Linked DNA regions of Danio rerio. The main gene of each other region encodes a partner of the protein of the gene in region 2 in a complex. Links are inferred from orthologs where the notes say so. Each region holds a gene or a part of one and is shown on either strand. Other genes may lie near its edges.

Evidence for each region. Proteins that work in one complex are often made in the same cells at the same time.
Region 1: heatr3 (region 2) and rrs1 share a complex: the UniProt entries of both Homo sapiens proteins name them as parts of the hexameric 5S RNP precursor complex. The link is inferred for Danio rerio from reciprocal best matches to the Homo sapiens genes HEATR3 and RRS1.

What each region holds. Positions count from the first base shown.
Region 1 is NC_133199.1:27,757,832-27,761,750, forward strand, and holds rrs1 (ribosome biogenesis regulatory protein homolog), read right to left. Parts: upstream 2,334-3,919; 5' UTR 2,325-2,333; coding exon 1,284-2,324; 3' UTR 1,006-1,283; downstream 1-1,005. Other genes in the region: pola1 (DNA polymerase alpha catalytic subunit), read left to right, coding at 3,638-3,686. UniProt on the Homo sapiens protein: Involved in ribosomal large subunit assembly. May regulate the localization of the 5S RNP/5S ribonucleoprotein particle to the nucleolus.
Region 2 is NC_133182.1:38,126,818-38,131,010, forward strand, and holds part of heatr3 (HEAT repeat-containing protein 3), read right to left. Parts: intron 1,028-4,193; coding exon 940-1,027; intron 332-939; coding exon 231-331; intron 1-230. UniProt on the Homo sapiens protein: Plays a role in ribosome biogenesis and in nuclear import of the 60S ribosomal protein L5/large ribosomal subunit protein uL18 (RPL5). Required for proper erythrocyte maturation.

The DNA of each region.
Region 1 (3,919 bases), on a different chromosome or scaffold from region 2:
TACATAAAAAATAAATTCCCTTTATTTTTAATAGAATATCGTGAGTTAAAACTGGTCTGAAATTAAGAAATGTTAAATATGCAAGAATAAAAGGTTTATATGTTGCTGACATAAACTGCATGATCAAAAAACTTTTTTCATGATTTATCAATTCAAATCAAACAATGAAATCTTTAATTAATCAAAATCACTTGAAACCCAGTATTGATTTTTTTAATTTGAATATTTTAGTTTCATAATTCAAGAAAACACACTTACATGAGTATTAATTGGATTATACTTTATATTAAATTATATGAACATTCTATTAAAGTGCAGATTTTACCCATTAACAGCAAGATTTTTCTAATTCAATACGTATTTAAGCTTTAAAAATTATGTATTTTATTTTCGGCTTAGTCCCTTTATTAATCCGGGGTCGCCACAGCAGAATGAACTGCCATCTTTTCCAGTTTATGTTTTATGCAGTGGATGCCCTTCCAGCTGCAACCCATCTCTGGGAAAGCTTTAAGTTATTATTTTATACATATTTGTCACATCACAGATCAGAATAACAGTAGGTTTCATTTTCACATAACACTAAATGACAATACAGCGTTTTTAACTCATATTTTTAATTTCACAAAAGTTATTTAAATCACTAAACAATTTAATTAGATTTAATTTGATTGCTGTAATTAAAAATCACATTTGTGAACTTAGGTAGACACTGAAATGGGATGTCTCCTCTATTTGATGGTATAAGATAAATCTAATCATATTCTTTTCATTAAAATTGCTCAAATACTTTATTAATTGAATCTTAGCTTCAATTTTTTAAGGTGATATTTTAGCTTTATAATTCTAAAATACACATTTGATGATATTTTATATTACATTATAAGAACATACTATTTAAGTACAAATGTTACCCATTAACAGCAGGCTTTGACACATTTATACTCATTTTTAAATAACTTTGGGGATGAAATATAACCTCATTATTCACAATATCCAACCAGGAACTGATGGCAAATCAGAAAGAATTTTAATTTAATGTGAAAACACAATTACGAATGAATAACAGGAGTCAATATTAGATGACATTTATGAAAACGGTTCAATGATCTTAATCCATGACATATGTAGATAAAGCCTAAACACATAAACAAACCCGATTCCTGTACTGAATCAAACTCCAGCCGCAAGGCACTCAAAGTCATGACTTAAGAGAAGTTGAGTCGTGTGCAATATTTATTATATTCTACAATAAACATCATAAGTCCACCACACTGCTTTAAATGTTAGCGCTTTCCTTGCTTCATCTGAGGTTTGCGCCCTTTGCCTTTAGGAGCTTTTCCCTTTCCTCCAGGTTTTCCTTTGCCTTTTCCTTTACCAGGCATGCCTCCCTTGCGTCCCTTCTTTCCAAACCCTTTCTTATTATTCCGAGCAGACTCCGAGTCCTCTTCCCTCATCTGCTTATTCACAGCTTTAGTGATATCGAGACGGGGCTTCTTACTGTCCATCACCTTCAATAAATCCAGCTGTTTTTGCTTCTCGCTACTGAAGTCCCCAATAAGAGGCTGGAATTTCCTCTTCTTCCCAGTGTTTCTGGCTGGTTTTTCCTTGGGCAGCTTCTCCTGGAATTTGCCAACCGATGCGGTGGATATTTTGGCCAGACTGACCGCTTGTGCCAGCTCCGCTTTGGTCTGCTGGGATGTAGGCAGGAGTCCTGTTCCAGGAACCTTGACCTTCTGAGCTCTGGCGATGTTTTTGAGTCTGTTGTACTCGTTTCTGGCCACTCTTTCCTTTTTGGCTTTATTCCTTTTGGCGAACTGGTCTTCGTTTGGATCTGCAGTCGCCGGGACCTCAATCAACCACTCTTTGGTGTCATCTTTGGCACGTTTATACCCCCATCTCCTCTTCCACTCCTTGTGAACTTCATCCCAGACCAAGTTGGTCTTCTTTTTCTTCTGAATGCCTTTCAGCTTGGCAAACTGTTCCCATTTAGTAGGAGGCTTAGGTTTCGGTGCTGGTTTTTCTCTGGGTAGTTTAGTGGTCGGTTCTGGCAGCTTGGCGACGATCACTTCGTCGACTCTCTCTGTGGGTAGTTTCCATATCTCGTTGATGAGAAGTTGTGTGTTGTCTCGCGCTAAAGAGCGAAGACAGTCCTCCCGTTTGTTGCCTTTAAAGTCCCGTGTGTCAAGTCGGTTCTTGTCAAACGCCAGCAAAAGTCCCGGGTCGAATTCAAGATCCAACTCTTTGAGCACCGTAATACTTTTGAGCTTCTCAGCCTCGTCTCTTTCAGCTTTAGCGAGCACGTCTTCAATACTGCACGAAGCCATTTTGGTTCTACTGACAGACAACGTGGGTTCCCACATGTGCCGCTAAAAGCGGAAGTCTGGTATTTCAAAATAAAAGAACTAAAAACTAACTTAAAAAATAAAATAAACATTTCAAATGAGTTAAAGAAATATAACAATCTTTAAACATGTTTTAGCTAGTAAAACGTTTATCCTAAGTGTATATGTTTATGATACTAACTAACTTACTTCGGACGAAAGTTGTTCGGTCGAATGCAGGAGTAGCGATAAACCGACAGGACGTCCCATCGGCTCTGTGGCGCAATGGATAGCGCATTGGACTTCTAGATTGTTGAATGGGGTCATTCAAAGGTTGTGGGTTCGAGTCCCACCAGAGTCGACATTTTTGTGATCAGAATCAATAAAGTGGCCACATGCCAGAAGTTACCTGAAGTGCTCGAAGACATGATTCAAACGAACCTGACTCAGTGATTCAGTTTGTGGATGCGTGAATCTTATAGCCGAACCGAACCGGTGGGTTAAGCATACGGAGCAAATGGTTCGTTTTGATAAAATATTAAATTTATTTAGATATATATCGGTTCTGTGGATGTGTAACCTGGGACAAATGATTGGTTTCTAAATGCCAGTAAAACCTATAAGTGAAACCCATAGTTGTGGTAGAAATATTGATTTATTTATTTTGTTGCAGTTATACACACGCACGGTTGTATTTGTTTTATCATCGACCACTACAAATATCTAAAAATAATTAATTATCCTTAATAATACTTAAATTGTGTTTTTGGTATGATTTTAAAACTGATTTTTTGGATCTGTTTGGATTATATTATTACTGAACAAGTGATACTGAACTGATAATATGATTTCTGAACTGATGCCAATGTTATTCTTGAAAATTCTAACAGAAAAAATCTGGAAATTGCCTCTGCATACAGTATGCAAACAAAAACAAACTTGTTATTATTATTATTATTATAATTATTATTATTATTATTATTATTATTAGTAGTAGTAGTAGTAGTAGTAGTAGTAGTAGTAGTAGTAGTATTTGCATTACTGTTCAGTTACGCAAACAAAATGATCTTTAATTGTAAAATAACAAAAAACTCAAGTCTCCGATATAAAAAAATGAATGTGCTAAAAAATACACTGAATAAAGTCTGTCTACAACAGTTCGAATCAACTTGTTCAGATTGGTCGGCTGGTGAGAACGTCATATCCGCTGCTCGAGTTTCCCCGGGAAGACACTTTGGCGCGGAAATCTGTTGTTTTGGCTTCGCCCTTTGTAAGGAGAGAGAAATTCTACCTCGACTCAACCGCATTTTATATCAATGGCTCCTGTTTCAAATCCCGATAAAGACATGGACGGCGGAGATTGTGGTGAGCGTGTTTACAGGGATTAGTGTTGTTAGCTAACACAATATTCCAGCTTTCAGCTTAGCGGATGCATGTAGTGTACTGACAGCGCTAATGCAACATGAAATACAATACATTACATTGATTTATCTGAGCTAACTTAATCGTTAAAATATGCAAATACATTACCGTGTATCATCATTTTGTCGAGTAAACGTGATGTTTCGGTCCTTAAACATGAAGTTTGAAGCTGAACA
Region 2 (4,193 bases):
TCAAACTAACTATAAGTGTCATTTTCACCTTGCAAAATACAGCCAATAAATAAAGCATGATGATATGCTGTCATATCACAGGTGGTGACAAAATACACATACATGAAAAAAAAAATGTTAAAGCTAATATTAACTAATTTTGTTAATATACATGTGAGGTGTAAACATCAATCAGTGTTGACCACCTATTTGTGACTTGGTCCTTGCTTTCAGTTTAAGTTCATTCTTACCAGAGGTTCCAAAGTAAATTGACTGCTTCATTGGCGACATCTTCCACTGAGGTTTTCTGTCCTTTCTTAGAAGGAGAGTTCACGCCAAAGCCTGCACAGCACTGTTCTCCACAAAAACACACAACACAGACACACACTTATTAAATAGAGCTTTTTACAATATAGCTACACATTAATGAAATGGCAAAAATATCATATCAAGATTATGATCTAAAATCCTATTACAATTCTTTCATTCTGTTTCACATGTTACTAAGCAGTTCAGCCATCCTACCTGCCCTATGACCCCGGATGTGCCTGTGCTTTGTTTCAAACGGAGGAAGTTGTGCACCGGTAACAGAGAAACACATCAGCGCACAGTGCTTGTGAATGCACACCCTATACTGACACTGAGGAGAAGAAACTGTTGAATAAACTTGTTATTTTTGTTGTAAACTAAACTATTCTTGTAGCTTTGTAATATGATATTTTTTTTTGTTTCTACACTTAATTCAGTAACTTTGCTATTTATGGAGGAGGATGGAGCTCTCAGATATTACCTAAAATATCTTCATTTTTGTTCTGATCATGAATGAGAATCTCAGGGGTTTGGAACAGCATGAGGGTGAGTAAACAAGATTTTTATTTTTGGGTGAACTATACGACTTCATGTTGATTTTATGTTGTCATGCAAGTAACAGTTTGAACTGAGTTGTTTCAGCATTCATACCTCCCTCAGGAGAGCAGACAGAGGCGTCAGCACATCCTGTCTCACCATGTCCTCACATACTTCAGGACCTCCACTGGCACTGAGATTCCTGTAAATAAATAAGTGTAGTTTTACTAAATTAACCTAGCAATAATGTTATACAATAAGCTGATTGTAGGACTAACTACTGCAGGAGAAATTCTTAAATTCTTAAAGTCTTACATATTTCATTGCAGGTTGTTGTTAGAGGTTTTAAGGTGAAAAACAGAAAGAAAACCATTTTATGAGAATAAAATACCCTGGTTATTTCTTTTAATTCATGTCTCAGAAATTCTTTTTTGTAATTTCACCACAGTAAAAACAAATTTTACTGAGATTAAAACTATCATTGCTTTTTCCTGTAAGCATGTCAAAGCTGCTGATGCTAAATTAAATCTGTTTGAAAAACTTAAGCAAATCCATAACAGAAGGCTATTGCCTTTGTTTGGAAAAAAAAAGCCACCATAAAATATTTCATGTTCACCAATATGGATGAGAACAAAAAATACATGAGAAGAGACTAGACTTCAAATATGAAATAATTAGCATAAAGATGACACAAATATTTATTACACCGCTAAGTCTAAAATACTTAATTGTGATTCATTAGTCATGTCGTGCATTTCCAAAATCCGTTTGATAACAAACTGTAGTCTGTAACGGTGACAAATTGGATTTTGAGGGCTTGTTACAGTTTTTACGTTTAAACAGCTACTAGACTTCAGTATAAACAGAATTGTTATACTGCTTCTTTTTTACTGAATTCTATCAAAAAAATTATATGTATATTTTGTGTTAAATTTTATTTACTCATGTCATATGCATGTGTTTATGAATCAGAATAATTAAAAATAATCAGTTGGTTGTATCTGATGAATAATTCCTTCCCTTTGCAAGAGGGTCCTGATTTATCCGCTCAGGGTTTATACTGCTATAGCAATCAGATGGCTGTATATAATCCATTAATTAACATATGAAGAGTTCAGATGCAAAAACATCTAAAAGCCATTTGAAATGTCCTTCAACTCTAAGCATTTTTATCATGGTCCTGTCTGTAGGTTCAGTAATTTCAAGTTTATGGCAAAAAATACACTCCACTAAAGGTCTTTAAAATAAAATAACTCTACATAAACATAGGTGTCTGAAAAAAGTACTCATTTTCTATAGAAATTTCTGACGGCACAAAGAGGTTTTTGTATCTGAACTCTTTATATATAGTCTGCATGAAGTTTCAAACTGCTTGCAATTCAAATCATGTTGTGTAAAATGTGGTCTGATTAAAAATAACATTGGCAATTACCTACAGCCAATGAGAGATCAGCATCCACTAGTTTAAGTACGTGCAGGCCGGCGGGAGGTTGAGGGAGAAGTTAAAGGCACTCATTTCCAGTTTATTTTGAACCATGAAATGATGGACAAACTAGTGTAAATTTGGCAAGAGCACCTGTTTGACGTGTCATCTGAGCAACTGGGTCAAAAAAGAAAAAGCCAGGGGCCTCATGTGCAAAGACTTGCGTTGAATTAATACGAAAACATTGCGTACGGACAAAGCTGTAAATGTGCGTACGCAGTAAAAAAATCAGATGTATGAAACACTGCATACGCGAAATCCCACGCATATTCTCTTTGTACATCCAAATTAACATGAAACTGAGCGCAAGAGCAAAAAAACCCTCCCAGCCTCCTCCCCCGTATGAATATGGTAATGACTACACTTTAGCAAAACCAAACAAAAAAGCAATGGCAAAAGCAAGTAAGAAAAGAAACTTCACAGAAAGTGAATGGGAGGTGCTCCTTTAGGAGGTAAACCGGAGAAAAATTGTGTTATTTGTAAGTTTGTCCTGTGGAATTAATAACAAAAGAAAACAAATTGGGATAGTTTAGCTGATACAGTTAACGCAGTGGGGTCTGAAAATCGCACTGTGAGTGAATTAAAAAAGAATTGGTCTAATGTAAAGGTGCAGGTTAAGATGAGAACAACGGTGCACCGTCAAAGTGTGGACCGAACAGCCCAAAGAACATGGGATGCTGAACTAACACCTTTTGAGGAGAGAGTTGCCTAAATTGTGGGCGACACTTTACTGTCTGGAGTAGTATCTGTGTCTGTGGGAGACACAGATGTATTAGAGGGACACTTTGTTAGGGCGGTAAAACAGCACTCCTCTGCTCTCAAGGCAGTGCCACCGGCATTTCAGCTGCCTAATTGCCCGCTCTACAACTGATGAGTGCAAGAATGGGCATCATTGTATCTGCACTCTTGGTCAGTTTGTGGGTTGTTGAGGAGTGTTAACAGCTACGACTTTAATGGATAACCGCGGTCTGCTGATATGCAGTTAAATAATTATGCTCAATAAAAATGAAATAAAATAAAAAACTTAGCTGGAGGCGATGCAGTGGCGCAGTAGGTAGTGCTGTTGCCTCACAGCAAGAAGGTCGCTAGTTCAACCCTCGGCTGGGTCAGTTGCTGTTTCTGTGTGGAGTTTGCATGTTCTCCCTGCATTCGCTTGGGTTTTCTCCGGGTGCTCCGTTTTCCCCCACAGTACAAAGACATGCAGTACAGGTGAATTGGGTAGGCTAAATTATCCGTAGTGTATGAGTGTGTGTGTGTGTGTATGGATGTTTCCCAGAGATGGGTTACGACTGGAAGGGCATTTGCTGCATTAAAACATGCTGAATAAGTTGGCGGTTCATCTCGCTGTGACCCCGGATTAATAAAGGGACTAGGCCGAAAAGAAAATGAATGAATGAATGAATGAATTTAGCTGGAATAATATCTTTAAATACATAACTCACCAAGAACTACCCATCGCGCACCCTGCCACCTGGGAGCCTTCGGATTTGACCATTATCAATGTCATCTAAAAAGGCCAACACCGCCATTGCCATAGACTAAGGGTTGCATACATTTGCACATGCATTTATATGTTCTAAATCACATAATTGGTAAGAGTTACCTCAATTAACCTATTTTATCAATTAGAAATTAATAGCAATGTTTTTCACATGTGTTGGTGCGGTACTTTGTAGTGTGCAATTTAACAATTGCCTCTAGGAGTCGCCTATAGAAAATAAAACAAACACAAAAAAAGAAATGCATGTACGCCAGACATGAAGTTGGTACAGCAACGCACATTCTCACATTAATTTCATCGTTAGTAAATCCAAATGTGAGCGTGAAACCTGGCTTACGCAAAGTATTTGTGTATATGCAGCGTTGATTCATGAGGCCCCTGGTG